2 linked regions of the Pelodiscus sinensis genome follow. The protein of the gene in region 1 binds, or shares a complex with, the protein of each later gene. Links are inferred from orthologs where the notes say so. Each region holds a gene or a part of one and is shown on either strand. Other genes may lie near its edges. The genes, in order: APAF1 and CASP9.

Region 1 (15,439 bases):
GAAGAAACGGTCCTGGCCTGATAAGTTTGGCCAGTAAGGCTATTGAGGGCACGTGATGAGAAAAAACTATGGTTTGAATTTAACCTAGTTTGTAAAGTTGGACATTAGTTGCATTTTATCTTCATTTTTCTTGTAACCATTTCTGACTTTTATGCTTCATTACTTCGTTTCATTTAAAATGTATCTATTTGTAGTTAATAAACTTCTTCTGTTTTATTTAATCCAATGTGTACTAAGGATGTAAAGGAGTAATTGAGTATATGATTAACCAATAAACCTAGGCTTATTGGTTAATCTTCTTGACTACTTATTTCCTCCTCCCCTTGCTGCCTCTGATACAGAGGTAGCAAAGAGCGGGGAGAAGCAGGAGAAAGTCTGCCTCTACATCCCTGCTGCCTCTATCTGCTGCTGGGCTCTTACTACAGTAAAACTCCATTAGTCCAGCATCCAATGCTCCGGGACTCCTGATGGTCCGGCACCATCAGGAACCCGGAAGTGCTGGGGCAGCCGGACAGGCTTCCCCCATTCAGCTGCTGCTGGAACTGACCGGCAGCTGAATCGGGGAAGCCGGGAGCAGAGCAGCTGGGGTGCTGCTAGGTTGGTCTGGTAGCGCTGCCCCTCGGGGCTGCAGGGCCAACCCGGCAGCACCCCAGCTGCTCTTGGGGACTCCTGGGGCAGAGCAGCTGGAGTGCTGCCGGGTTGGTCCCGCAGCCCCGAGGGGAAGCGCTACGGGACCAACCGGGCAGTACCCCAGCTGCTCTGTCCCAGGCGTCCCCAAGAGCAACCGGAGTGCTACTGGGTTGGTGCCGTAGCGCCGCCCCTTGGCACTGCAGGACCAACCCGGCAGCACCCCAGCTGCTCTATTGCAGGCATCCCCGATTCAGCTGCTGCTGAAACTGACCAGCAGCGGCTGAATCAGGGACTCCTGGGGCAGAGCCTGACTATCGTAAGGGGGGGCTATGAGGGGTCTGGGGTGGCATCCCCTCCCACCCCACTCCAGACCCCTCATAGTCCCCCCCTTCTGATAGTCTGGCATATCTGATAATCCGGCACCCCCTGGGTCCTAAAGGTGCCAGATTATCGGAAGTTTACTGTACATTTAAAATGCAGAGGCGCAATGTCCCAGACTGCTCTGTCCTGGCTTGCAGTGAGTTCAGTAGCTCTTGTTTGCAGCAGCTGCAGGCAGAGAGGTTGCATCCCCTCCTGGCTACCTCTTTTAAGCTGGCTCCCTCCAGCACTGGCTCCTGTTTCTCCCCCTTACCGTCTCTGAGAGGGAGCAAAGGGAGGGAGGAACGAGTAGTTGATTCTCCCATTGACTACCAGATAAGCTTATGCTTATCAGAGGCATCAGCACAGGTTGTGGCAAGCAACTGGTGTATGCACAGAGCTGGTTTTTTAACTGGCTCCCCTTGCTGACCGCCTCCTGTAATAGAGGCAGCAGCAAGGGATAGATAGCAGGGGACTCCTTGGGAGTGGGGCCAGGAATGCACTGGCTGCCGTCCCCGGAGACAGTAGAAAGTTGAGTAACCAATAAAAATTCATGTGGTTACTCGACTATCCGAGCAGTTCCAAACCGTTGGTTCACGAACCACTGGCTGCAGTAGCAGCTGCTGGAGCTGAAGACAATTGTTCATGGTGGCTGATTTTGCTTGGTGGCGGTGCTGGGGCTGAGGGAGCAGCAGGCAGAGAAGGAAGCGCTTTCCTTCCACCTCCTACCCAGGTAAGATGGTGGCCCAGTCGGGGCTCCATACTCCCTCCACCTCTACTCATGGGGATGAGAAACATGCTTGGGAAGGGGGAGCAAAGGAGGAATAAGTGTGCATGCCACCAATGGCCGCTCCCTCTGCCTGCACGGCAGCAATGGCTATGCTCCCTAGAGGGGGAAGCCTTGCTCTCGGGAGTGTGGGGGTGGGGTAGGGTCATGGTGTGGGCATGGGCTATAGAGGTCAGAAGTTAAAGGGTTAAATGGCATAGGGATGGGGGTCAAAGGGTGTCAAGCACTGGGAAGTAAGAGGCTGGGTTGGGGCTAGGCGGATAGGTAACATTTTATTTGCATATTTACATATTCATTATTTGCATAATACACACACATACATACAAATAAAATGTTACCGGTCTGTTGAAAGTTTCTGAATGGGTTTGCTGGTCCATGATATAAAAAAAGGTTGGGAACCACTGGACTGTTCTATTACCTGCTATCTAACATCCCTGCTGTGTATAATATGAAGTGTCTGACAAATTATTTGAAATAATAAGATATCATATTTTTATCTTAAAGAAATAACAGACTTATGATACTTGTATTGTCCAGGAGAGGGCCAGATGATGCAGGAAATATATTTCTTGGAGGGGGGGGAGGGTAAGATTAGGAATGAACGGGGGTGACCTTGTACTATAGCTTAGACCAGTGGTCTCCAACCTTTTTACACCCAAGATCACTTTTTAAATCTCAGAACAAGCAAAGATCTACTGCCCCACCCTTTCCCAAAGACCCCACCCCTTCCTTGAAGCCCTGGCCTCTCTGTTCTCCTCTCCATCACTTGCTATCCCCAGCTCTTATACACTCTACACTGCCACTTTTTTCCCCAATTCTTATGTAGGAAGAGGTTTTTCCAACATTTGGCCTGTCTAGACTGGACCAAATGTTAGAAAAACCCTTTCTTTTTGAATTCCCCTTATTCCTCGTGGAACGAGGAATATAGGGGTTACCGAAAGAGCATGTTTGCTCTTCCACTAAAAAAAAAGCAGAACAAATGCATCCTTGGATGCGGAAGAGTTTTTCCAGGATGTCTCCTGCAGTCTAGCCGTTCCCTCACTGGGTTGAGACAGGATGTGTGGGCTCTGGGGTGGAAATGAGGGATTTGGATGTGGGAAGGGGTGAGAGGTGCAAGCTCTGGGAGGAAATCTGGATGCAGGAGGAGGTGGAGAAGGGGATGCTGGCTCAGGGGGGGAGCTCCAGGCTGGGGAGCATTGGGGTAAGATGGAGGGTTGAGGTACTAAGCAAGTCACAGGCTCATGGCTGTGAGGATGCAGGAATTTGAGTTGGGGTATGTGAGGGCTCAGGGCAGGGGGTTTCAGTGTATGATAGGCTCAGATCTAGGAGGTGCAGGAGTGTGGCCAGATGGGGGCGTGGCCCCAACTGGGTTTTTTTTTTGGCCAGGCTTCATTTTTAAATAAAATACTATGTTAAACACAAAAAGTTTCTGCATTGTCTTTATTTATGCGAAGGGCAGGGAACCTATTTTGAGTCAGGGGGTCACTGACCTACAGAAAAGTCGGTTGGGGCCACACAAGGGAGATGCCAAAAAAAACCAAACCCTCCTCCCAAAAAGACCCCAGGCCTCACTAATGTGGCCCCAACTATGCTGGTGGGAGCAGGGGACATGGTACTGGGGAAGGGTGCTAGTGGGTGCTGGGGCAGGGGACAGTGTGCTGGGGTGGGATCAGGGTTCTGCAGCAGGGGACAGGGTGCCGGGGTAGGGGACAGGGTGCCAGTGGGAGCAGGGGACAGGGTGCTGGGGTGGGGGCAGGGTTCTGCAGCAGGGGACAGGGTGCAGGTGGGGCACAGGAGAGAGCGACAGGATGCTGGGGGGAGGGGATAGGGTTCTGCAGCGAGGGACAGGGAGTCCCCTTCCCCAGCCTCCTCCAAGGACTCCCCTCCATCCCGCCCCGCAGAGAAGGAAAGCCCCCGCGCATGCCTACTCTGGGGCCGACACCCCCTCCTGCAGCGCAGGGAAGCCCCTGTGTGCCTCCTCTGGGGACTCCCCCAGGCAAGTTCCCGGCACGCCAAAGAACTTAGGGAGGGGAGCAGCCAGTACTCTTCCGGAACACCCAGAAGTGGTGCGAAGTTGTAGGACTTCCATCCACCTTGCGGGAAGCCGGCACTACCTCCACTTTCACTGCAAGTAGGTAGTGGGGCTTCTTGGGGGTGGGGAGGAAGTGGGCGGGGCTCAAACACCATGCGATTGACTGGTCGAGGCCTCACAACCTATCAGTCGATCGTGATCAACCAGTTGGTGACCACGGGCTTAGACTGATAAAGAGTCAAGATGTGGTAGATTGGCTGCAGTTCACACACAGGCATAGCTGTTAGTAACTTACATGTTAGTGGCTGTTTGAGAGCAGTCCATAGTGGAGGCTATAGCAGCAAAGCAGTGTAAAATGCATCCCAGGTTAAAGGGCAAGGGTAAACACAGCTACACATTAATGTACCTTGAGTATGACACTGTGTAAATGTTATAGTCTTAATACAATGAAATTGCAGTTGATGGCATGTAGGCAACCACCACTACCACCATAGGATGAAATGGGAGACAACGGAGAGGGCACTGTCAGTGAAATAAATTTAATTTGCTATTAACATCTCAATCCCAAATCAAGATAGAAAAAGTACAGATAGTCCAGGGATCCTCTTTTTGGGATCAATTTAAGTAGAAGAATTTTTTTTAACAGAGATCTATTAAAACAACATACAGCAATTAAAGAGAGAACTGAGTCCAAAGCATCTGTAATAAAGGACTGTTGAAACTGAGGTCTGGAGCAAAAACTAAGAAAATGTAATTTATACCTATCCCACATGTGCCAATTTAAGATGAACTAAAATTATACAGTTTTTATTCTTCTAATCCAGACAATCCTGTGACCTAGTCAATGATTATTTGAGTGAAATTCTATTCCTACTTAAGTAGAAATTTTGCCACTGACTTCACTGGGACCAGTCTTCCACCCATAGATTATACAGTTTGTAATTTCTAGCTAGAACATATCTGTTAGAAAAAATGTCCAGTTTTGATGTAAAGAATTCAAGTGGTGACGAATCCACCATGTCCCTAAGTAAGTTATTTTATTTTACCAACACTGTAAATAAAATAAACAATGCCTTATTTCTAGGTCCAATTTCCAGCTTTGCCTTCCTGCTGCCATTGGATCTCATTATAATACCTTTGCTTACTAGATTAAAAAACTCTCCACTACTGGAAATCTTATCCACATATAGTTACTTAGACATCATGATCAAGTCACCTTCTAACCTTTTTGTTAATCTAAATAAATTGAACTTCTGTAGTCTCCCACAGTAAGATAGGTTTTCCAGACCTCTAATCATTGTGATGACTCTTTTTGGAGCTCTTCCCGTTTGTCAACATCTTTTTAAAATGGCAAACACCAGAAATGGACACTAGTCTACTAATGCCATATACAATTCCATTGTATGTGACAAGGAAAAAAAATCAGAGAAAGTAAAATTTAAAAGTGTGAAACTGTCTATATTAGGGATGTGAAGGTTTAACCGGTTAACTGGGAAGCCTCATCCTTAATAGATGAAACAAAAAACAGGACTATGTAGCACTTTAAAGACTAACAAGATGGTTTATTAGGTGATGAGCTTTCATGGGTTCTACCCACTTCTTCAAATCAAATAGTGGAAGAAAATTGGCACAACCATATATACCAAAGGATACAATTAAAAAAAATGAACACATATGAAAAGGACAAATCACATTTCAGAACAGAACGGGGATGGGGGAGGGGAGAGGTAAATGTCTGTGAGCTAATGATATTAGAGGTGATAATTGGGGAAGCTATCTTTGTAATGTGTAAGATAATTAATGTCTTTGTTTAAACTTAGGTGTAAAGTGTCGAATTTAAGCATGAATGACACTTCAGAGGATTCTCTTTCAAGTGTGGTCTGAAAAGGTCTTTGAAGCAGGATGCAGGTAATCAAGTCATTGAGACAATGTTCTTTCTGGTTGAAATGGCAAGAAACTGTTTTTTCTTTGTGATCCTGTATAATTTCTGTTTTGTGAGCATTGATTCTTTGAACAAACGTCTCAGACACTTCGCCAATGTATATAGCAAACGGACACTTTCGGTACACAATACCATACATTATATTTCTGGATGAGCAGGAATGTGTGTTCTTGATCTTATAACTCACTTGGTTAGGTCCAATAATGGTATTAGCAGAGTGAATATGTGGACAAAGCTGGCAACGGGTTTGTTGCAAAAGAAGGTACCAGGGTTGGTATTAGTGTGGTATGTCCTGTATGACCATATAATTTATGCTATCATGTGCCGAAAGTGTCCGTAAGTGGTTAACCAATATGCTTAACTAGTTAGCAAGTTAAAGAGGAGCTTACACCCCTAGTCTATATCCAGAATTACCTTTAAAGGATTACTTACCAGGTCAGCAGTAGACAAGCAAAAAGTGAAAGTAGGTTTAAGACTGTTCGCGAATCTATCCAAAAGGAACTCGGGCTATTTCTTCCACTTCTGGGATTAGAGAGCATTCCATAATTGCTCTGCTTCTGTGGTTCTTCGTTATGCTTTGATGAAGGAACAGGTTTCTTTCTTTGCTTCACATCAGACATTTTAAGAATATCTTTAGGAAACAGAAAGCAAGCAGAGAGCTAGCAAAAGAAAGCAAAATGAGTTGTTTAGTTCCTTCGGGTATGCCTACACTTGCACCCTCTTTTGAGAGAGGGATGCAAATGAAGACATTCGAAATTGCAAATGAAGCCGGGATTTAAATATCCCGCGCTTCATTTGCATATTCACATTATGGCAGTATTTCGAAATAGCACTATTTTGAAATAACAGCCACTGTTAAGATGCGGTTATTTCAAGAGAAAACCCTTCTCTCGAAATAATCGGTAAACGTCATTGTATGAGGAATAAGGGTTATTTCGAAGAAGGGTTTTCTCTTGAAATAACCGCATCTTAACACCGTCTGTTATTTTGAAATAGCACTATTTCAAAATAGCACCATAACGCGAATATGCAAATGAAGCATGGGATATTTAAATCCTGGCTTCATTTGCAATTTTGAATGTCTTCATTTGCATTCCTCTCTCAGAAGAGGTTGCAAGTGCAGACATACCCTTCCAAGTTAACACAGAGAATTCCCAAAAATGCACTTAAGCAACTGCACTCAACATTAATTGCTTGATATTTATTCAGTTATATTAATCATTTTCAAGAATTTGTCATAACTATTCAGTTTTCCATTACATGACCATCATCTTCCAAACTTTCAAAGAAATGGTCCAATTCTTCATAGCACTAAGCCCATAGATTTAATTTAAAAAAAGAAAAAGAAAGCTGATTCCACATAAGCCGATGGCAATTGTCCAGGAAAACTTTCAACTACTCAGGATGCAGAAGCAATTGGAGTTTACAAGATGTTCTTAAGATTACTATGCCTAAAAGAGATATGAAAAATAAACAAAACATTTTTCCAAGACAACACTATCTTTCACGATTTCTCATGTTTGAGCAACTAATCTGTTGCTTTACAGTTGAGTCTTTCACAGCGGAAAAGGGGAAAAGAACCTGGGATAGTGAATCACCTTGGGAGGGGGAGTGAATGTTTGTATTATAACTTTTAAAATATGTCCGTTCATAAAGCCAGGTTCATTAGTTACTATATTTTTCAACCTTCAAATGCAAATATATGTAAATGACTTAAAACAGCTATTTTTCCTGTTTTGTATTAAGCACTATTTAGGGAGTTTTAACAGCTTTAAGAATCCTTGCCCTGTAAATACAAGAGACAAAACAATAATAAATTATAAACAAAATCTCATTGTTCAACAGGCATTCTACCGTAATATAGTCCTCGCTCTATTTAGCGGCGCACAACGCTTTACCGTATGACCAAATGAACATCTATGAGATGAAGGTTGAGAAGATACGAGAGTTATTAACACGAACGCCAAGAAGTGCATCAGGCATGAACAAAAAAAAAGATCCCCACCGCTCAGACCCGACTTTCTTTAAAGCCGTTAAAAGTTGCTTTGGGCGGAGCACTGGAAAACTCCAAGGAAAACGAATTTCGGAAGGAATGTTAAAGGCGACTTAAAACGTTTTAAGGCGGACGCAACCCGTCGGCCTGAGGGGCGCCCCCAGCCACACGCAGGGGGCTGAGCAGCGCCCCGCAAATAACGGCCACCCCGCCCGTCACCTCCTCAGGATCTCCCATCGGCAGCCCTGCCCCCCCCCCCGCCATCGCTCTCCCGATCGCCTCACCCCGTCGCGCGCCCGTTCCCGGTACCTGCAGCTGGAGCCAGGCGCGCCACCCTCCGCTTCAAACTCCTGCCCTGCTGCCGCTCCTCGCGGGCTCGCGCGCGCCACGTCAGGCGCCTGCCCCGCCGCTCGCGCCCCGGCACCCAGCGTGGGCGGCTGTGCGCCAGCGCGAGCCCAGCGGCTGAGGGTGGGAGGGGCGGGAGGAGGCCGTGGCTTTGTTCCGCGGTCCTGGGCGCTGGGGGGCGGTGTGAGCGGCGCGGCCGCTCGCCGGGAGGCGTCTGTCCTGCCAGCCGCGCCGCCGCCCAGCCTCGCGGAAGGAGGAAGTGGCAGCTGGTTGCGGGGCGCCTCTCCCCGCGCTAGCGGCGCCGAGCCTGACTCAGACCCGCGAAGGGTCCGAACCTGGCTCGTGCTAGCGACCGGCCTCCCCGAGACCCTGCTCCGCGCTGGCTGCCGGTTTCTGCCGCGGCCCGGTAACCGCGCGCCCCAACGGCCCTGGAGAACGGCGCGGGGGGAGGCGCGGGGGCCTCGCTGAAATGCCGCGGGCTCTGCGGGGGGGGGGAGGTGTCTGTCTCCCTTCCAGCCCCCCTCCCTCACTCGCTGCCGCTCTAGCGCAGAGGGTTTGTGCGGCGGGGGTGTGAAGCCCACGAGCTTCTTTTTCCCATTGGTGCCGGAGCTGTGAGACCCCCGCCCATGGGAGCGGCCCCCGGCCGGGGAAAGTTGTCCGGTGCGTAAAGTTTCGTGTCTAATTTCCACCACTTGCCTCTAGGGGGCGTCGGACCCTCTGCGTGGCCGGAGCTTCTGCCGTCGCCCAACCCCCCGGGAGTGCAATGAGGTAGGGTCTCGCTGGCACGTGCTTGCTGAGGCTGCGGCGTGGCTCAGCTATACCTGGGAGCTCGCCTTTGTGATTTTTGAGGCTGGAGGTGCTAGTAATAAATAGGCAGTTTTCAAGCCCAAGTGTTCGGTTTCTGCCTGCTGAGCTGCTGCTACATGGAGATCACACAGCTGTTGCTGCCATCATGTGAGATAATGTAGAAAGACTCATCAGTGCCACTTTCGATAATGCATTTGAATTCTGTTTTTATTTTGGAGACAGTTTTCCTTGGCTGGATGTTTTTTTCAGTCCTAGTTTTATTTTAGCTGGCGCTGTACTTCATAAATAGATTATATAATTAACCTTTGTGGTTGTCACTTGCAAGAATATACTGATAGGGTTTTTGGCTGCCTTCAGTGTCTTTATTATACATGAGAATGAATAAGAACTGTTTTGTCTTTATCGGACAGTTTTGTGTTCTGTTTAGTACATGCCTGATTCCTTACTTAAAGGCTGATGTAATAGGGAGATCTGTCTCATTGGGGAGACTTGGGACATAATTGTGTTTTTATATTACTCCTTAAAATAAGTAGATTAGGCCCAACATTTTGATTTATGGACTGTAATGATTTATTTTAAACACTCCTTTGTATTGAAAACCAAAGAGTGGTACATTGTATTAGTACAGAGGATCCTAAAAGAAAACAGAACTTGCCAGAGCAGTCTGGATCAGAGCAGACCACTGATTCATTTACTTTTGTACTGCTGTCTCTGATTGAAAGTGACCAGAGCCAAATGTTTCAGAGGAAGTCTGAAGAAGCTTCATATTTCTTGGGGGAATTTTGTGCCACTGTGCATGTGCAGAATTAATTTCCCTTGCAGAAACTGGTTACCTGATAAGCATGGCAGTGAAGCTAATGCTTACCAAGTAACCAGTTAACTGTTTAACCTTTAACATCACCAGGGCTTGACAAATGGCTGCGAAATCTGCTCACCAGTCCCGCACTGCACATGCGCAAGACCCGCATGCGCGCGCTGTCGGTGAACGGGACAACTGGCTAAAATCTACTTACCATAGGCGAGTAGATTCAATGATTTGTCGAGCCCTGAACACATCACTAATTCTGACTGGGAAGCAAAAGGAAACTGAGAGAGAGGTCACATGTCCCTCTCCAGCAGCAATGTCAAGCAGGCATAGCAGAAGCAGCCAGGAGAGACATAAATCACTGCCAGGTGGGTGGCTGGGCTAGGTGAAATTTCAAGGCTGTCCCTTTCACTTGCTGTTACAGTGCACCTGGTTCAGAGGGCTGGGGCTCTAGTGTGTTTCTGGAGCATGTCCAGTGCTTGTGCTGCATCAGGGTAGGGTGCAGCCTCACCAGTGAGTTTGTCCTGAAGGGAAGGGAGGCTTCAGGGTGATCCCAATCTTCATGCAACCAGTGGCTTATGCTCCTGTTGGGAGGCAGGTTTTGCGCACACCCCTTGATCGTGTTGTGCCTGCCCTGCAGAGGCATGGGCAAAGAGAATGCACTATGGGGAAGTTGTAGGGTGTCTTGGCCAGGAATGCCATTTAGGGAGTGCAGGGTGCCCAGTAGTGGTGGAGGACCTTAAGGTACCCTATGGTGCAGTATGGTGTTGGAGTTTGGGAGGAGGTCAATGTGGTGGATTAGAAGAGTCAAATCTCCATAAAAGTAGAGGTGAGATCATAGGGATATGCCCTGGGGAAAGGGACAGTGAGTGTGGGAGGAGTAGCTAGGGGTGCTGCATATTTTCGATGTTGGTAGGGACAGCCTGACTCAGAGCCCCTGTTGAGCATACTCTATCCTGGGTTTGCAAGAGCTGAACAAGACTTTGTTAGAATTTTTTCCTGCTGCTGCTGTGATGCTAGGCACTGGAACTGAGAGCGGAAGATAGAGTAAGCGATAGAAGATGCCTTCTTGCTAGCACACAGCCAGCATTGCACTGGAGAAGGAAGCAGTCTGACTTAGATGCAGTAGTGGGTAGAGGAGTTGGAGCAGGAGCTGGGGGCTCAGATAGGAGTCTAAAGGTTGGAGAGGGCATCGAAGGAGCCAGGCATTGTAAGAGAATAGGGAAGATAGCAAACAAGACATGAGTCATAATTCTTTCACTGTATTCCGGGCTGGTTAGACCTCACCTGGAGTATTGTGTCACATTTCAGGAAAGCTGTGTCAAATTGGAGATAGCTCAGAGAAGAGCAGCAAAAATGATTAAATGTCTAAAAAACATTATCTATGATAGATGATTGAAATAATTGGTTTTTTTTAGTTTGGATAAGAGAAAACTGAGAGGGGACATAACAGCTTTCAAGTACCTTAAATGTTGTTGAAAGGAGGAGGGGAAAAAATTATTCTCCTTAACCTCTGATGACCGGATAAGAAACAGTAGGCTTAAATTGTGGTAAGGGAGGGTTAGATTGAACATGAGAAAAAACTTCTTAACTGTCAGTGTTGTTAAGCATTGGAATAAATTACCTACGGAGATTGTGGAATCTCCATCGCTGGAGATTTTTAAGATCAGGTTAGACAAACCCCTGTTAATGATGGTCTAGATCAGCGTTGGGCAACCAAGAATAGGGAGTGGGCTGCATTAATGGCCCTCCCTTCACTTCACTGGGCTGCAGTACTCTGTGGAGCATGCAAATCTGATTCACATTTTGTCCTCGCTCTTCCCCCTCCCTCCCAGATCTGGAACAGCCACAACCAGCTTTGAAGAACTGGGAGGGAAGGGAAGAAGTAGGAAGTGCAGGGTTCCAGTGCCGCTGTGGGAGAGTGGAATAGACAGGGTCTGTAGACTGCAGGTGAAGCTCCAGTGGGCTCCAGGTTGCCTAACACTGGTCTAGATGGTGCTTGGTCCTGCCATGTGTGCAGGGAACTGGACTTGATAATCTCTCAAGATTCCGTCCAGTTCTGTGATTCTGTATTAGGAGCAGGAGACAGGATTTATAAGGAAATAGAATGGGGGTCAGTTAGAAGTTAAGTAGGAGTTGTGTGGGTCGCAATGGAGAAAAGCAGGTGAGAAGTATAGGAGCAGAAGGGAGGGATAGGGACAGGTTGTAGGGACAAAGGATATGTAATAGGGATTTGAAAGTGTAACCGTGTACACAGTTAACTGATGAGCCTAGATTAATTGGTTAACCTTTATGGTTACCGGCAGGCTTCTGGTATGTGTAGGGAGCCTGCGTACATTGCACAAACAGGCTAAACTGAAGTTACATGGGTAATGATGCTAGCATTTTCTAGCATTTTGATGCTTGTGTTTGCAATCTTAATATTCTTCTAATGTAGTTTTTTTAAACATAAAGCTGATCCATGTTACATCTGTGCCTTAGCGAGAGCTTTGCTGCTGCCTAGCTTTGTGTTCAGCTCCCTCACAAATCTGCTTTGCTAGCAAACTCATAACGACTCTACTAATCCAAACCTTGTATTGCAAATAACAATAAGAAAACCCCAACTCCTGAATTCTGTAGAGGCATAGCTGCAAAATCTAGTTCCTCTCACTGGGACACTTCTGTAGGGCTGGCTTGCCATGAGTATTTGGGAAAGGGTGAGGCCCCAGTCCTTACTTTTCCCCTTCTGATGACCCAAGGAAGGGTATAAAGTGTGCGGAGAGCAAGTGAGATGTAAACATGTATGGTGGTGGAGCTTTGTGGGAAATTCTGCCTTTACATACTGATGCTTTGGTATAATCTAGCTGTGCTCTCAGCAAGCAGTGTATGTGAGTAGCTTTTCCAGGGACTTGCCTGGGCAAGTTAGGCAACATTGGAAAACAACTAGTTGGTGAAACTTGACAGTTTTGAACTCTTGTCTTTGGGGAGACTTACTCAGTTATGATAAATAACTCTTTGTATGGTTCACTGCAATATTTGAAAAGTGCCTTGTCCTTGAGACATTATATTAATTGGTATATGTGTCAAAAACATCACTAACTTGTTTGTTTTTCCTCTTGAAAAGTTAATATATATTTGATTGCTAAAAAATGGGAACGTCAGTTGATCTGCAAAGAATTTGTGTATTGAACATTGTCTAATTTCACAATTAAAATATGAAATGTCTCAATTTCAATCATGCTTTAAGTACAAATTTAAATACAACTTTAATGGCGGAGCCACTTAAGTGTCCCAATTATACATAATTTGGCGTGTAGTAGGAGTGTGTTCTTTTTGATAACGTGAACACATTATTAGGGTTTTTGGGTAAGATTTTGAATATACTGGTAATGTTTCACATTTATTGTACAGTATACTTCTAAAATCCAAACACTAATACCTGTCTTTCATTTGCCAAAAAAAAAAAGAAAAGCTACTTACATGTGTTATACTATAAAACAGTGTATTTCAGTCTTTCCGGAATAGTGTATCCCTTTCATGAGTCAATTTATCTTGCATCTCCCCAAGTTGCAACTCACTCAAAAATTATTTGCTTTCAAAATAAAATATAAAAGTACAAAAGTGTCACAGCACACTATTGCTAAAAAAACTCCTTACTCTCTAATTTTTACTATATAATTATAAAATAATTGGAATATAAATATTGTATTTACATTTCAGTGTATAGTATATAGCACAATATAAACAAGTCATTTAATTTAGTTTAGTTTGATTTTGCTAGTGCTTTTTACATAGCATGTTGTAAAACTAGCCAAGCATCTAGATGAGTTGATATATATTTCTGGTTGAGAATCACTGCTAAAGGAGATGATGATAGAGGATTTCATTTTGTTTCCTTAATTTACAGGCAGTCTCTGAGTTACGCGAATCCGACTTATGTTGGATCTGCACTTACGAACGGGGCTTTTCTCGCCCCGGAACTCGCGGGCGGCGGGACCACCCAGACGCGCAGTGGTCCCGCCACCGCGTCCTCCAGGGCGAGAAAAGCTGCTCGGGGTGTCCCTGGGGGTCCCGCGCCTCTGCGGCTTTGCTTGGGGTGTCCCTGGCCTGCTAGGGACCCCTCCCAGCAGACCAGGGACACCCCGAGCAGACCAGGGACACCCGGAGTAAAGCCGCAGAGGCGGCGGAGTCCTGTGCCTCCAAGGCTTTGCTCCGGAGCAAAGCCGCAGAGGTGCGGGACCCCACCACCTCCAAGGCTTTGCTCCGGGTGTCCCTGGTCTGCTGGGGACACCCCCCCCCCCCCCCAGCGGACCAGGGACACCCGGAGCAAAGCCGCAGAGGCGCGGGACCCCGCCGCCCCCGCGGCTTTGCTCCGGGTCTCCCTGGTCTGCTGGGGGGGACGACGCAGCTAGTGCGCCACCCCCCCCCAGCAGACCAGGCTTTTGTTGTGGACGCCTGGGGTAGAGCAGCTGGGGTGCTGCCGGGTTGGTCCTGGGGGGACCTACCTGGCAGCGCCCCAGCTGTTCTGTCCCAGGCTCCAGATTCAGCCGCTGTTGAAACTGATCAGTGGCTGATTCCAGGAAGCTGGGGGCAGAGCAACTCTGCCTCCGGCTTCCTGTTGTCAGTCCCTGGTCAGTTTCAGCAGCAGCAGCTGAATCTGGAGCCAGTTCCGACTTACGCACAAATTCAACTTAAGAACAAACCTATAGTCCCTATCTTGTACGTAACCCGGGGACTGCCTGTATTATGTTTATCAGCCGAGCTGGATATAAGCATCTGAGCATGGATGGTAATACAGATATCTAGGAGAGGGGTAATACAAATATCTTAATATAATGTTCTCAAGAAATACCAGTAATAGGCTGACATGTTGGTTGCTTGTGCAGTTTCTAGTGATGTAATTCATAACATGAACTTAACTGAAGATCAGCTATATTTCAGCTGCTGGAGTTAATGTTGGGGTTACTGTTGCCATTTGCTTTTTAAATGACATTACATAAAAGGAAATATATTTTGAAATCAATTTGTTTCTTACTGTCTTGACTAGCTCATGTTCCTGTGCAAATTTATTTTTACTGCACTGAAGAAAAATGGATGTGAAGTCTCGAAATCATTTGCTTCTGAATCATGAAGCATTGGAAAGAGACATCAAGACCTCTTACATTATGGATCATATGATTGCTGATGAAGTACTAACATTACAGGAGGAGGAGAAAGTAAAAGCACAGGTAAAATACATATCTTAATCAATTTCCTGTTCTCAGACTGATCAACATGTTTTAGAATACTTGTTTGAATAAACTTCTGACATCTTAGGCCATGATTCAGCAATATACCCAAACACATGTCTAACTTCATGTAGGGCTACTTACATGCTCAAAGTTAACTGTGTGTTTGAATATCTTGCTAAATTCAAGTCTTAATGCAAGTTCATTATCTGACCTGTATTAGCAACAAGTGTTCCTGGCAATAAGAAGCACAGTATTTAACTAGCTAGGTGTTGGAACTAGATCTAATAAGTCTCTCAATTTTTGAGATTTTATATAATAAATTTTTATTTCTTTGCTTCTGTTAGACTACGCAGAGGGAGCGAGCTGCTATGCTAATAAAAATTATTCTTGCAAAAGATAATTATTCATATATATCCTTCTATAATGCACTGCTTCATGAAGGGTACAAAGACCTGGCTGCTCTTCTTCAGGATGGAATACCTATCCTCTCTTGTAAAGGAAACAAGTCTATGGATGGAGGTACTTCATATG
Region 2 (15,552 bases), on another chromosome or scaffold:
CCAACCCCTGGGGCACAGACCCCCCCACTTGGTGACCATTGGGCCATATATGGTAATATGCAAGCGCAGGAAAGCGACGTGCAGATTTGGGGATAAATACCCATCGCACAGTTCGCTCAAGGAGGTCTTCGCAACACATCTACCACAGTGCGTGTGCCTTCCCGTATACTCCAAAGCGCTGCTGGCCTGATTAACCAACCAGCCTCCTTCCCCGACTCTCGGGCACAACCAAGGCCTTCGCAACCGAACTGATATCTTTGAAACGTTCCGTGTGCTGTGTAAGTTGGTATGTATGATTTGATTTTCTTTGTTATATAAGCTTAGTATTGTAGTTGTTTTGGGTAGTACATAGAGTTTGTGGTTATATCTGTTATTTAATTAGTGTAGCTGGATATTTTTAGAATAGAGACTATTCCCCTGGCCATTCCCATCCTTATATCTCTGACATGTTTAACTAGGAATCATAGAATAAATATAATAAATACTGTAAATTCATTATTAACACGGCCTATTAAAAATCTTAGAATAAATATTATAAATTCATCACTGTTATAAATAAATATCTTTGATTTACTAAAACAGTCCACCTGGTTCTGTCCTTCTCCCCCCTTGGGTATGCATCATCAGACCTGTGGTTCTCGCGACACCAGTGTTCCCTGATTTTCACTTTGGATGCCAACATTTTCTCCCATCGTCTTGTATCCTACATGAATGGCTCACAACCCTCTTTGGATTCTAGAGTGCATCTCAGTACCATTCCTGGTATAGCTCAAAGAGCGATGCAATGTTCATACTGCAGGGCTGAACATAGTAGCTCCTGACCATGCAATAATCCTTGATGGTATTTTTAATGACACAGGCACTAGGAATCACACTGCAGCAGAAAAGGAGACAATCACTGAATTTAGAGATGGAAGAGACTCCCCAGATTGCATCCCGATCATCCTCTTCCTGGGCAGGGTTTACTAAAGCCTCGTTTCATCTAATTCCAACTACCTCCAGGGATGGGGCTTTCACCAACTTCCACTGACCCAGCCATACAATTCTGAAGTGTTTTCTCATGTGTTAAGCCTACATTTCCCTTGTCTCAGTTTCACTGATGAAGACTGGTTTTAGGGAAAAAAAGAGACCAGTGCTCCCTCCTCCAACTACACTGGAAAATAAAAGAAATAAATCCATTCACTGATAAACCACAAAGGAATTCGGTGGCTGAATTCACATTCAAACACAACCCCAGAAGCTGAAGTCAATTGCCACAGCCTAGGATGGAAACTGCTGAGAGAGCCTCTCCCTGAAAACACATTGCAGCTTGAGTTTTTTAAATTTGCTTCTCTTACCCAGCATCTCTAGCTCCTGAACAGCCTCCTTCCACACAGGCTCAATGTGGATACAGCTGAAGCACCAATCCGAGGTTATTTTAATGAGGTAGGGCTTTTTGAAACTGTCCGGCACAATCTCGTTCACATAGTGCGAAAAATGCAGCAAGTATTTCTCATCAGAGGAGTCTCGTCTCTCCGAATTAAATGGGAAGTGGAAAAAGGATTCATCAAAGTAAAAGCTTTCATGGAAGTGATGGAAGTGGTGGTGCTGCTGCTGTTGAGGGTACCCCTGATTTTCACCCACGTCTCCATAACGATCGAAGTTGGATCTCTTTTCCTCATTGGAGAGGATCTGTCAATCAGAGTTAAGAAGATTGAAAAGAAACAAGGGCTGGCTGGCTCATACTGAATGAGAACTAGAAGGATGACAATTCCCCTTCTTAAAATAACTGAATGGCAATAAGGAGCAGACATACTGGGAAAAGGAATTCCTGTTGCTGAATGTCTACCCAATTGAGCTCCAAGAAAGGGAACTGTCATATCTTGTCTCTGTAGCAAAATCCATTTATGTGGCATGGCGTGAAACAGAGCTCACATGAAGAGACAGAACATTTAGTTGGAGAATTCCAGCTTCCTAGCTCTGACACTGTATGTCTTCCAAATTCTTTTATTATTTCAGTTTCTCAGCTAACAGGCCATCAAATTGAGTCCTAAAACAATCATAGTCCAGCAGACTACTTTGGCTTTCTCACAATGTCAAACATTTAACAGTCAAATGAACTGGGAGAGCTGATATGCTCAGGTAAACAAGCAGAATTTGCAGCAAAAACTGTCTATTGAACTGGTAGAGGAAAATTCAGATTATTCCTGGGGACTCAGCATCAGAGATGCAACATGCTGCAGTAGCTGATTCAGTGAGGCTTGGACGAGTGACCTGCAAGTGCTACTTATGCAAATAATGTTTTAGAAGTGACTAAAGCTTTCAAACCATTAAACCCACTTACAACATCACTGGAACGTGCACAACAAATACAAAGAGATGGCACCAGCCTGCTCTGCTAAGCTCAATGGACACTCCTTACTTTTTGCTTGATGCTTTTCAAGAATCAAAAGATAGAACTTTACATTTATTCTTTCACAATATTTCCAATTGTGGGATGTTCATGATTTATTGAGATTAATTCACATCTGAGTATTAAATGGATAGCAATTTTTTTAAGACTGCAGCTATCAGCAACTTTTTTTTTTCTTCAAGAAAACCTAGACAAATTCCACCACCCAACCCTTCCATACACAGAGCCGAGAAATTGTTCCATGTAGACATAACAGGAAAATAGTAAAGGCTACTTGTGAAAGATGAACAGCACTTTCCAGACTCTAATATACATCCTAAAAACAGCACAAAGTTACCAAATGGTGTCCAATACCTCATAGGCTTTGCTAATTTGTATAAACTTATCTTCTGCTCCTGGGTCCTTGTTTTTGTCAGGATGCCTACAATGCAAAAATACAGAAAATGGATTTTATCCTTTAGAAAGCAGCAGCAGTTTATCACAGAAAGGCAAAAGTACGCCACTAGGGTTGTCAGCTTCAGTGCAATACTCCTATTAAGCAGGATATGTAGACATTAATGCCATTTACTGGTATCTACTTCTTAATTTGTCTGATGTTTAAAGCAGATTTATGGCAAAAGTCTATTTCTCCCACACAGGTTCTACATAAAGAATTTCAACAGGATTTGAGTGGTGTATGTGGAAGCATTTCCTCGGTTTCCAATTTTGTTTCATAAATAAATGATCCAAGTGGAACTAAAAACTAGATTTGACACCAGGCAGAAAATTCCTTCAGCAATAATCCTACCAATTTCAAAGATACATGCACTAGCTGCTGCCCTATATATATTAGGCACAGCAACTATTTGGTATATTTGCAATTCTATTCTGAATCTTAATAATTTTCTTGTATAATGCCTCGGTTCTGAGAGACCCCTAAAGCTACAGATAAGAGTACAGATAATTTCCAGATACCATACAATAGCTCTCACCTTCAGCGTTAAAACAGGTCTTATTGTGTGGTCATAATTTGAGTTAGTTTAATTCACTTCTTTTCAGAAACCTCAAAAATTTGACTAAAAAAAAAAAAATCACTGACTTGAAGCTGGCCATGATCAATTTTTTTAGATTGACTCAGTTGAGTTACTAGCTGGCTGTGAGGAGCACATGTAACTAATTAGCACATGTGACCAGCCTGTGTCAATGTTCCCTAATTTTTCCATATATATATATATATATATATATATGCGGAATAAATATGTGCACCAAGGTATGTGTGGATGTGCAACACCAATAGAAACACATGTTGGTGGCCGTGGGCATTCTGCTAATCAGCTGGGTGGTATTTGAATTTCTCCAGGGTAGCTGCCCAGGTGCACAGCTTACAGGGAACACTGGTGAGTGTTACTCAGTAACAATTCCTATGACAACCCTAAAGATATAGTACAGAAGTTATTTAAAGCCATTTGCTTCTTAAATTTCTGCCCTCAGTGATTCTTCTAATATGTTATATTTTGTAAAGTACAAAACAGGAGGGGGGGAGTTTCATATTAGACCTTCCAAAGTCTGATGCCCAGAGCATTGGATGAACTGGAAGAAAATGCCATCAGGAAATATTACAGCATATGCAATATGCACTAGTAGGTATAATTCAGGGCCAGATCCTGCAGTTTGCATTGACATGTGTAATCTTTCATCTTGTGAATAGTCTCACTGAAGTTGACAGGTCACTGGTGCAAGGCATGTGGGAACAAGACTCATATACAGAATTTAGGGTCTGACTGACCTTTTACATAGAATACACATACAAACAAGAAAACTAAACATTACAGGTACAATTCCAGAAACCTTATTTGAGTAGTACTTACTCACAAAAGAGGTGCCATTGACTGTAATGATACTACTCATTGAAGTAAGTATTTCTCACTATCAGGCTGCAAAATTGGGCCCTTTATTAAGAAACACTGTACAGTTTTTCTTTAAAAGAAAAAAAGTTTCTTCCTGCTCAGCAGATACATTTACCTGAAAACTATGGGGCAGCTCTTCAGATGGAATAAATCAGTATACTTACATTGTGGATTTACAATGAATTACACCAGCTAAGGCTCTTGCTCACTAGTTATAATATGGTTTTACTGAACATGGTAAGAGCAAGTAGACTGTCAGGGTAAAATGGTTATTGTATAATTTTAAATGTCTTTGTTTTTATTTTGTAGATGATGCTTTTTCTCACAAATATTTGGTGCACTCATCAAAACAGCTGACTCTGCCTTGCAGAAATCATTTAATATGCAATGTATTTTGAAACACCTACCATTCCCGGGCAAGCTTCTTATAAGCCTTTTTAATATCAGCCTGGCTGGATGTCCTGCTGACCCCAAGGATTCTGTATGGATCAAAATCCACTGCAGATAAAATTTGCAGGACCAAGACCAGAACCAGGACCACAATCAACGAGATGCTTAATTTTTTCAGTTCCATTTCTCTTCCTTTAGGCAACCTGGACAGAAGAGTTTTCGCATACATAAAACAGAAGTGCAAAACTAGGGGTTGATGCAAAATCTATGTACCCCTTTATTTAATCCTACACCAGTGGCAAAACTGCAAGACCAAAAGCCCCATTTCCTTCAAACAACTAGGACCAGAATTCATCTCTTGGATTACTAAAAAGGTAGGATTTAGTAGGGTCTGTTCTTGCCCTTGCATGTGATGATCATCATATCATTCCAATTATAATTTTGCTTCCCTGTGTAGTTCAACATTTTAGTAGCTTCTATCTTGAGAACTCTACAGCAAGACACTTGTGCTTTATACCTAATAGGAGCTCACTACCAGTTTTCAGGTATTAAAAAGCAATAAACAATAGGGCTGTCTAGACTGGCAAGTTTTTCCGCAAAAGCAGCCGCTTTTACGGAAAAACTTGCCAGCTGTCTACACTGGCCACTTGAATTTGCGCAAGAACACTGACGATCTGATGTAAGATTATCAGTGTTCTTCCACAAATACTATGCTGCTCCCATTCGGGGAAAAAGCCCTCTGCGCAAATGTATTTGCGCAAGAGGGCCAGTATAGACAGCTCAGTACTGTTTTGCGCAAAAAAGCCCCAATAGCAAAAATGGCGATCGGGGCTTTCTTGCGCAAAACCGCATCTAGACTGGCACGGACGCTTTTCCGCAAAAAGTGCTTTTGCGTAAAAGCATCCATGCCAATCTAGACGCTCTTTTCCGCAAATGCTTTTAATGGAAAAACTTTTCCGTTAAAAGCATTTGCGGAAAATCATGCCAGTCTAGACGTAGCCTAGCTGTTTCTGCCATCCCATTATCTAAAGTCTTTTATCAGGACTAGCAGAGACACTTAAGAGACCAGTACACTTTTCAAAATGCAGTAATCATTACTATGTAGTAATCAGAAACCGAAGTCTTTTGATGGCTGACAGTTACATGGGACCATGTTAGTTGAAGAGACAATGCCACCTTGAATTTCTTCTTGAACCTTTTTTTCCCCCCACCTGATTCCCTATTATAACTGGACTTTTAATAACTCCATTCATCTGATGAAAGCTCATAATACCATCTACATGTTTTGTTAGTTGTTAAGGTGCTGCTAGACTATTCCTTGAACTCCAGTCAGTTCAAAAAGCATGTTAGAATATTTTTAGTTATTACTCCTGCCCCCCCATGTTGTTCTTTTTTATCCATATTTTCCTATTATAAATAAAAAACCCTTCTCTCCTAGTTTCAGAATGTGATCCTATGGCTAAGCGCACAATGGTAGCAGTGAAACTGACTACAGAAAAGCTGCCATACACATTATTAATTTTTTTTATTCTTTCATTTTGTTTAATCTATTACCATTATCTTGAACACTACTTGCAACAGCAAGGGAAACCATTTACAGCTGTGGTGAGATTGTTAAACTAACAGCGTACATAAGTTTATTCACAGATGTTATTTATAACACATTACGAACAGGGGAAAGATTTTTTTAAATCCAGCTTTTCACTGTTTATGCTTTTTGCTTATAGGCTGCATAGTTCACATCTTGAGCAATGACGGTAAGTACAGTCCATTTTACCAACAGGTTCTCAGAGCTACCATCACTGGTCTAGCGGGGGGGGGGGGGGGTTGTTTAAAGAGACACACGAGCACGGAACACTGAAAAAAAAATCCTCTCACCCCCCCCCCCCCCCCAGTATTTCCCAGCTCTTATAGACTCTCATGGGTGTGAAATGTACATTTGGGGGCACGTGTCATGTGACACCCCCCAGCGCTTGACATCCCAGCCTGACAACGCGGGGTACCCCAGGCCGGGGGTTGCGGTGGGAGGAAGAGCCGGGAACCCCGCTCGTTTCTGCGCCCCGTGCTTCCCGGCGCTGCTTCCCAGCAGGACCCCCAGCCCCCCACAGCTGCCCCCCCCCGTCACCGCCCATCGGGTAGCCCTGGCCACACCCCAATGCCGCCCCCCAGCAGGGCGCCCCGACCATGCCAGGCCCCAGGCGCCGCTCGGAGCCCGGGGCGGGCGGGCGAGACGGCCCGCGGGGAGGGTCCGCCCTAGATCACATGTCGAAGCCCCTTAAAGGGGCAACGCTCACCCCAGGCTGGGACCCCAATGAGATGGGGGGGGGCGATACCCACCCTGTGCTCCGGGCGCCCGGTCCCCGCTTCCGGCTTCGCCGCCCCGCCTCTCAGCCGTCACCATAGAGACGCCGCTCGGCTCACTTCCGCTCTCCGCTCCGCCCGGTCATAGAGACGCGATACGGGCTATAGAGAAGCGCGGCCCTCCAAGAGCTAGCGAGTCCCATCGCGCGGAGCATGGCGGGATACAAGCGGAGACGCAGGTGGGAGGGGCACGGCCTGGCGTGGGGAGGCATTGGCATCCCACCACTCAGGCCTGGGGTGTGTCGTGGTGTCAGGCTGTCACTGTGGCGCTGTGTCATGCTGTGATGTCATGTCATAGCAGGGGCGCTGGAACAATTGTGTGTGAGGAGGGTGTGCGTGTGGCTGTGCCTATGCAGACAGCTGCTGAACCCAAACTGCATAATGGAAGCCAAGGGTGTGGGAGCACCCCTCGCTGCTGCACTTGTGTCATGGTGTCAGCCCACGTCAGTGGTGCTGGGTCACCATGGGATGTCACCTCATGGTATCAGCCCATGTCAGTGGTGCTGGGTCACCATGGGATGTCACCTCATGGTATCAGCCCATGTCCCCATGATGCCACATCACCATGTGACCGTGTTGTGTCAACCCATGTCACCATAGTCACAATGCGATGTGTCCTGGTATTAGCTCAGGTCAATGTAGTGCTGCATCACAATGTGATGTTGTGTCATCATGGTGTCAGCCTGCATCTCCATGGTGTGGTATCACCCTGTGGCTTCTTGACCTCACGATATTGTTTCTTATCTAGCCCTACTTTCTCCCCCCACTTTTTTCTTGGAGTGGTAACTGAATTAAAGGGCTTGACCAGCTAGATGTAGGTGCCAGTCCTCTCCTATCCTCATTAATTATTCTAAATAGCCTGAATATATTCGCTTACACACACATGTATGGGTCAATTAGTGCAATGGCAAGAAAGAACACACACTAGGGTCCCGCTGTGCCAGTGGAAAGCCAGTAGAACCAACAGGCTTCAGCACAGTTACTTAAAATCCACACCAATGCGAGAGTCCGTGCATGGAGGGGAACAAAGTAATGGTCCCTCTAGGCCGGTATGGATCCATGCCAGCTAGTCAAACAGAGGATAGTGACACACAGAACTGCTGTTAGCTGTGCAACGCTCCCTCATGGGGAAGAACTGTCTATTAAAGAGGGGGAGTAAATACAACTGAAATCCATCTAGCGGAAGGGCAATAGGGGCTCTAAAGCCCGACAGAGCCGGTAGATTCTTTTCGGCCCCTATGGACAGTAGGGAGGGTGTTGTGAGGGAAGCTGCTGTAAAAAGGGAAGGACAGGCACAGACTGTAGCACAGCCCCTACACGCGGTAGGGCTCAGGGGCGGTCCCTATGGGCTAAGGAACCAAACGGGAGGCCCCTATAGGAGGAGAGGCCTAGGGGAAAGGCGGATCCTATAGACCGCTCCGAAGGGGGCCGGGCTGAGGACGGTTCCCGGAAACAGGCGGAGCATCTCGGCCGTCTCCAGTTTCCCCTCCCGCGGGACCCACCGGAGGGGGTCCCCGGGGTGGCGGGGATGGAGGAGGCTCAGCGGCTGCTGCTGCAGAGGAGCCGCCTGCGCCTGGTGCAAGAGCTGCAGGTGGCTCCGCTCTGGGACCTGCTGCTGCACAAAGGAGTCTTCACCCAGGACATGATCGAGGAGATCCAGGTGGCCTCCCCTACCCTGGGTCCGCTGCTTCCTCCGCACCCGGGGCTGCATCTGGGGAGCTTCTGTCCTGCCCCGCTCCATCCTCCCACCCCCGCCGTTCTGCCCTGGCTGTCGCCACCCCCACCCTGCTCCTGACTTCCTCCTATCCCTGCTCAGCCCCCTCCCCCTTGCTCTGCTCTAGGGTAATTCATATTTACCCCCCCCCCCCCAATAACTAGAGACTGCAGTGTAGAAAAGGGGGCGGTGTCTCTTCTCCCTCCCTTCACATCAACACCCATCCAGCCCCCACTATCGCTGGTGGGGTTGGCACTACCCCCTTCGGCTTCCTGGTGAACTCTCCTGAAATTAACCAAGCAGCCACTAGATGCCATTGTCGGGCTGCGAGCTGCTGGGCCTGTAAACATCTGAACTTTCACAGCCACTGGAAAATCAAAATTTCTGGGTAGCTCCCTGGATTTCTAATATCTCTGCTCTGGGTTATTGCTGGAGCCAAGTTGCAGAGCTGCTGTGAATTTGAGCTTTATGACTTTAGCTGGAAGAGCAACTGTCGGAATGAAAGTGGCATAATTCCCTCCTCCCCACCCCAATCATGGATGAAAACAAGCCAAGAGAAGCTCTTTAAGGCTGGGGTTAGTTTGTATGATACAAAACCAAGCAACTAAAAAGTTATGTATGATACAGTAGAACTTGTCTCATCTTGTGGGAGCCAGTGATGTCTAGTGATTGGAGTGGAGAATGGATCAGATGCCCTGGGTTTTATACCCTCACTCTACCACTAACTTTCTGTCTGACATAGGGAAATGTCTCTGTACCTCAGTTTCCCCACCTATCTCAGATGATAGTACGTGGGTGTCTAATAGGCAGAGTCTTGAGTTTCTCACCAGAGGCTGATGTGGAAGATGGAAGGGCCATCAATGAGTTATGGGGCTTGATGGGGCACGAGAGTTTCAACCACATCTGTGTATAGGTTTTTCCAACAGCAGTTGAATAGAAGTGATATAATTTTTAATACTGTCACTGCCACCTAGAGTTTCTGAAAAACAGCAGTGAAATGGCAGAATCTTCTTCACTCTGCTGACATTTGGACATCAGTAGGCCCTGGAGTTGCCTGGGTACAGACTAAAAAAGCTATACTTGATTAGTTTATGTTCTGTTCTTTTCCTTGCCCTCTCATATTCATCACTGTGCTATTTAGAAATGCTGGACCATTGGCATGACTTGTGCACTGGATGCTAATGCTTTCTGTCTTGGTTTTGCTCCCTTATAGAGAGCAGGCACTCGAAGAGACCAAGCGAGGCAGTTGGTTACAGACCTTCAGACGCGAGGGAGACAAGCTTTTCCTGCATTTGTCTCAAGCCTGCAAGAAACTGGACAGGATGACCTTGCTGCTTTGCTGAGTGAAGGATACAAATTCCCACAGTTGTGTCCAGTTGATATAAAACCAATTAAAATTGGCTTACGTGGTGGAAAGGGTGATACATGTGAGTAGTGGTGTTATTTTCAGAATAAACAAGCAAAATTGGATTCTGCAGTTGTAAGCTCTGTTGCCAGGCAGGTACAGACAGGAGGCTGCCTAACAGCTTGTAAAATCTGATCGTCCACATGTCTTCCAGAATCACTGATTGTATAATCTCAGAGGGGTAGCTGTGTTAGTCTGTATCTTTAAAGATAATGAGTACAGACAGTCCCCGGGTTACGTACAAGATAGGGACTGTAGGTTTGTTCTTAAGTTGAATTTGTATGTAAGTCGGAACTGGTACATATTGTAGGAGAAACTCTAGCCAAACATTTCTCCAGAGCTCAGTTTTATTCTCCCACATCTCACTTCCCTCAGTCCTTTATTCTCAAGCTGAGGTGTCTGCTGAGAAAAGCCGCTCCGCGTCTCCCTGGTCTGCTGGGGAGGGAGCGCTAGCTTCGCATCTCCCTGGTCTGCTGGGGGGAAGCAGCTAGTGCGGGGTTGCCTCACCCCGTTTGTAAGTAGGGATCCGATGTAAGTCGGATCCATGTAACCCGGGGACTGCCTGTAGTCCTGGCACACCTTAGAGACTAACACATCATATATTAGTTCATGAGCTTTCCTGGGTAAACCCACTTAATCAGATAAGTTGAAGTGGAAAATACAGAATCCAAGGTATGTATAACAACAAAAGCAGTTTCCAGTCAATTGTAGGACTTGTGATAATGAAGCTAAGGCTATGTCTACACTGGGAAATTATTTCAAAATAACTTATTTTGAAATAGTTATTTTGGGAGTTATTATTTCAAGTCTATAGGAAGAATGGTCACTCAAGGCCCAGATGCCTTCTACCTTTACAGATGTGAAGGATCCTGAATATTTGCCTGCCCCAGTCCGAACTGTGACTGAAAGATGCCAAGAGCCGGGGCGTCCCAGTGTAGCGTCTCAAGGTAAGCTGTCTCTGCTAGTCAGTTATTGACTTACACCCTGTCTGTCCTTCATTCCTTCTCCTCTCTCCCCAGACTTCATGAAGGTCCCTTCAGCCCATCTTCTTCAGGGATGCTCAGGGTGGCCAGCATACTGTGCCAATCCTCCTCCTGGTTGTAGTACCCTCCGGAGCAGTGGTGGGTTGGAGTGCCACCTGTAGCCCATTGGGGTTCCACCTGTGGCCTGTGCACCCCCTCTCTGTCCCCTTCCCCCATGTGCCTCTTGTGCACTGGGGCAGTGGAGCCCTGCACTTACCTACTGCTCCCCCTCCCTCCCAACACTTTTGCAGTGCTGTGAATCAGCTGATTCGTGGGGGTTCAAGCTCTGGGAGGGAAGGGCAGGAGCAGGGACGGAGCACAACTCAGCAGATTCATGATGCCCCAGAAGTGCTGGGAGGGAGAGGAAGGAGTAGGAAGTGAAGAGCTCCATGCGTGAGAGGCATGGGGGAAGGGTCAGAGAGCAGATGCTGCAGGTGAACCCCAATGGGCTACAGGCTGCCCATCACTGGATTTCAATCTTGCGATCCACTGAGTCGAAGGAGAGCCACTCATGCGACCCACTCACTGCCTTGGTTGTCAGTCACTGCTCTGGAGTGTATCTGTGCTGCTCCATAATTCCTCTGGAGGCACTTTCTCTGCCCTGCACCTTCCTCTGCCCTGCACCTTCCTCTGTCTGCAGCCTTTTGCCAGAGGCTGGGCTGATCTCACTGCCTACACATTGTTCCCATTCCCTGCCCATCTAGGTGTCGCTTCTGAGCCATTCTGATTTTCTCCTTGTGTGCAGGGACTAGCAGCCACCTGCAGCTGTTTCCTTCTGTTGAACGGGTATCTCCATGTATTCTTACTTCAATCACAGCCATAGTGTTGGTCCATGTTTCTGGCTAGTGGCTAGGAGCCTCTGAGCCATTAACTGAACTCAGAAAATACCAAGATTAAAACCAGATTAAAAACAAGACTCTGTCGTGACTGATCCATCCACCAAAGTTCTGAATAATGGGAGAGGTGCAGCCATAAGGGATATAGTACGATGTACAGTATTTGTTAATTTGAGATCTAATTTAATCAATCTGAACAACCAGATGCCACCAGAACAAGTTGGAGTTGTACCATGGATTGTTACAGAGACTTTTCTAGGCCAGGCTAGTTTGCCTGTGTGTGAGGTGGTAAGGCTCTTGATGATTTCCCATCCAATTCTCTTCTGACAAGCAGAGCTCAAATTTATGACTCTGTGGGCAATACTCTTTGAGTATGTCTACACTACAGTGTTATTTCGAAATATCTAATTTCAAAATAGTTATTTTGAAATATCTTATTTCGAAATAACGCGTCTACACACAAAATGCATTTCGAAATACCTTTTTGGTATTTCGAAATAGCGCATCCACACTGATTGGACGCTGAATCGCATTTAAGGCCAGCCGGAATTGGTTCCAGTGGGGCATCAGGTCAGAAGTTACCTTGTGGCCAGGACAGTCAGCAGGGCACCCTGGGAAGGGCTGGAGGCCCCCTATTTCGAAATAAGTGTCTACACAGCGCTTGTTTTGAAATAGCAATTTCGAAATTGGTGCAATTCCTCGTGGAATGAGGATTACTAATTTTGAAATAAGCCCTCCTCTATTTCGAATTAATTTCAAAATAGCAGTTGGCTTGTGTAGGCGCTAGGAAAGTGATTTTGAAATAAGGATTGTTATTTCGAAATAACTTTGCTGCATAGACATACTCTTTGACTGGCAGTATCCAAAGCCATGATAAATGAACCTCCAGAATGTCTCTCTCAATGTCTCCAGTAAATGAACAATCAGATAATGAAATATTACTTTCCTGTGTGTGGCTAGGAATAAGGAGGCATTCAGGTGTGACTGAATGTATCCAGAAATAAAGTGCATTAATATTAATCCTTTTAAGCAGGGACCTAACCCTCTAATGAATGTGCGGTAGATAGTGGAGCTGTATGTCATTTCTCTCTTATCATGTTATAGGTTGTGCTGAAGACAGATCCAGGAAGAACTCAGATATGGTTAGTATCTTGTTTTTCTATACAGTATTTTTACTTATTTCTTACCTGAACCACCTCCTTTTTCTCCCCCACCATCACCCACTTTGAATCCCATTTTTAAAAGGACTTAGGCTCTTAAGACTCTGATCTACAAAGGTATTTAGGAGTCTAAAGGGAAGACAGGTGCCTAGTGTAATTTTCAAAAGTATCTATGCAGATGAGTTGCCTACGTTCCATTGAAAGTCTATGGGAGTTAGATACCTTTCTCACTAAGGTACTGTTATAAATCTTGCTAGGCACTTGACATCATTTCAGGTGCCTAAATACCTTTGTAAGATTCTGTCTATACTAAAAAGGATATGTCAGTGTAATGGGCTAAAAGACTTTTCATCTGGTACAGCTTATATCTGTTTCCCCAATTAAATAAGCTATAACAGCAAAAGGCCTTTTTCATGGGTATAACTGCATCTGCTCTAGGGACTTTGCTAGCCCTAGAACATTCAATTATGGGTGTGATTGTCCTTCCTCTCCCTAACCCAGGGATGGACAATCATTTTTACTGGGGTGACCACACCAAAATGTTGGTAAGTGGTCAGGGGCCACACTTTTCTATGGAGGAGGTGCAGGGTCTGGGACGGAGGCAGGGTGCAGAAGGGAGCTATTGGGGTGAAGGAGAGAGTGTAGGGTCTGAGAGGGAGTTTGGGTGAAGGAGGGGGTTGTGACCTGGGGCAAGGGATTAGGGTGCAGGAGAAGATTCTGACCTGGGGGAGGAATTCAGAGGGTTTAGGTTATGGCCAGGGCATTGGGGTGCAGCAGGGGGTACAATGTTGGAGAGGGGGTATGGATGCAAGTGAGGACTCTGGTCCTAGGGTGGGATATTGGAGGGGGTGCAGGGTCTGGGAGGGAGTTGTGACCTGGAACAGGGGGGAGCAGAATGCAGAGGGTTTGGGTGGCAACCTGAGGCAGGGAGTTGGGCTGTGGGAGGGAGTGAGGTGCCAGATGCTGGTTCTGGCCAGGAGGCGCTTACCTAGGTGGCTCCCTTCCAGCAGCCCAGCGGGACCTGCAGGGACCACACCTGAGGATTCCAATGGGTCCCATGGGAGCCAAAGGATTGGTGGGCCGGATCCAGTCTGCAGGCTGTATTTTGCTCGCCTCTGCCCTAACCAACAGTGCTATGCTGACACAACTTTTGAGTGTCAAGTAGGCCTAAATCTGTTCCTCAGTGCCAAAGTTAAAGGGATTTAGGTGCTTTTGAAATTTTTTGTCTGCAGTCTGGTAATTTATATTGTGCGTATTTACAGTTTATTTGACTCAAACAGTATTGTGTTGTTTAAAAGATAAATAATTACTAGCAAATGTGACTTTGATGTCCAGGTGTCAGATCTAGCATCTGAATGAGTCCTGCTGCTTTGACGGGGCTAGCTCAGTTCAGATTAGATCAATTGTCACACCACCCTTACTCCTCTAATGGCAACATAAATATGACCAGCCACATAGCCAAATATTTTTCCCTTAGCAATTACTATCAAGACAACTAATAATTAACTCGTGCAACACTTAGAGTGTGCTGTATTTGTATAGTGGGTATTTTAGGTTTGTAATTATAGTGTGAAATATACTAAGATAAACCCCTCACTAATGGAAATGTACTGCGCACACGAATGCAGCATGATTGTTACAACTGAATATAGTACCATGAATGCAGACCTATGTGTTTAGTAAAGTGGAGGCCAAGTTCATCCTTGTTGTAAGTCAATGGAAGTTAATTTGGCCCTGTATCCATTTCAATCAAGCCCTGATTTTGCTGATCCCATTGATTTCAATTGGACTGCATGAATAAAGTAAAGCTAGATGTGCTACATTATCCCAGTAGTTTGTATTCACTCCTTAGTGGTGTGTGGATCCCATTCTCCACCCCTCATCCTGGGCAAATAATACATTGAATTCACCGAAGCAATCCAATGAGCTTCATGAAAAGTCGCATTTTTGGTTCAGAGTTGCATCCTGCTGGATTAGCCAGTGGGCACTGAATAAACGTAGGTTTAGTTCAGTCTGTCTGCTGACTGCTCCCCTGTGGCGACATGTGCCAGGTTTATGTTCTGAAAGCTGACCCGTGTGGCTACTGCCTCATCATCAACAACGTCAATTTCATTGAAACGTCTGACCTGTCTTCTCGAGAGGGCTCCAACGTAGACTGTGAGAAACTGGAGAAGCGCTTCAAGTCACTGCACTTTGATGTCCTCATCCGACAAGATCTCAAAGCTCAGGTAAGGGTGGAAGCATCTGCCGAGAGGCGATGGCCTAAGAGCTTTTGCTGCAAGCGGAGGTGTGGCTGTAGCACAGACAGAGCATACCCATGCTAGCTGTAATCTCACTAGTTCAGATAACAGTCATACGGACATGGCAGCATAGGCTGACTGCCTGT

What was found.
Region 2: the proteins of APAF1 (region 1) and CASP9 are in contact, whole or in part, in a crystal structure (PDB 4RHW), measured with the Homo sapiens proteins. The link is inferred for Pelodiscus sinensis from reciprocal best matches to the Homo sapiens genes APAF1 and CASP9. Residues at the interface, in NP_863651.1 of Homo sapiens: Thr22, Ser23, Tyr24, Met26, Asp27, Ile30, Ser31, Ile37, Glu40, Glu41, Arg44; in NP_001220.2 of Homo sapiens: Asp23, Trp26, Asp27, Leu30, Arg36, Pro37, His38, Glu41, Gln44, Arg45.

Annotation. Positions count from the first base shown.
Region 1 is NC_134711.1:83,307,757-83,323,195, forward strand, and holds the start of APAF1 (apoptotic protease-activating factor 1), read left to right. Parts: upstream 1-8,236; 5' UTR 8,237-8,746; intron 8,747-8,788; exon of another isoform or gene 8,789-8,854; intron 8,855-14,724; 5' UTR 14,725-14,767; coding exon 14,768-14,905; intron 14,906-15,252; coding exon 15,253-15,439. Other genes in the region: inhibitor of nuclear factor kappa-B kinase-interacting protein-like, read right to left, coding at 6,181-6,379, 7,647-7,665. UniProt on the Homo sapiens protein: Oligomeric Apaf-1 mediates the cytochrome c-dependent autocatalytic activation of pro-caspase-9 (Apaf-3), leading to the activation of caspase-3 and apoptosis. This activation requires ATP. Isoform 6 is less effective in inducing apoptosis.
Region 2 is NC_134733.1:10,350,498-10,366,049, reverse strand, and holds the start of CASP9 (caspase-9), read left to right. Parts: upstream 1-8,440; 5' UTR 8,441-8,557; coding exon 8,558-8,689; intron 8,690-9,956; coding exon 9,957-10,170; intron 10,171-11,005; coding exon 11,006-11,095; intron 11,096-13,110; coding exon 13,111-13,148; intron 13,149-15,217; coding exon 15,218-15,394; intron 15,395-15,552. Other genes in the region: DNAJC16 (dnaJ homolog subfamily C member 16), read right to left, coding at 1,338-1,671, 2,747-2,813, 4,686-4,852. UniProt on the Homo sapiens protein: Involved in the activation cascade of caspases responsible for apoptosis execution. Binding of caspase-9 to Apaf-1 leads to activation of the protease which then cleaves and activates effector caspases caspase-3 (CASP3) or caspase-7 (CASP7).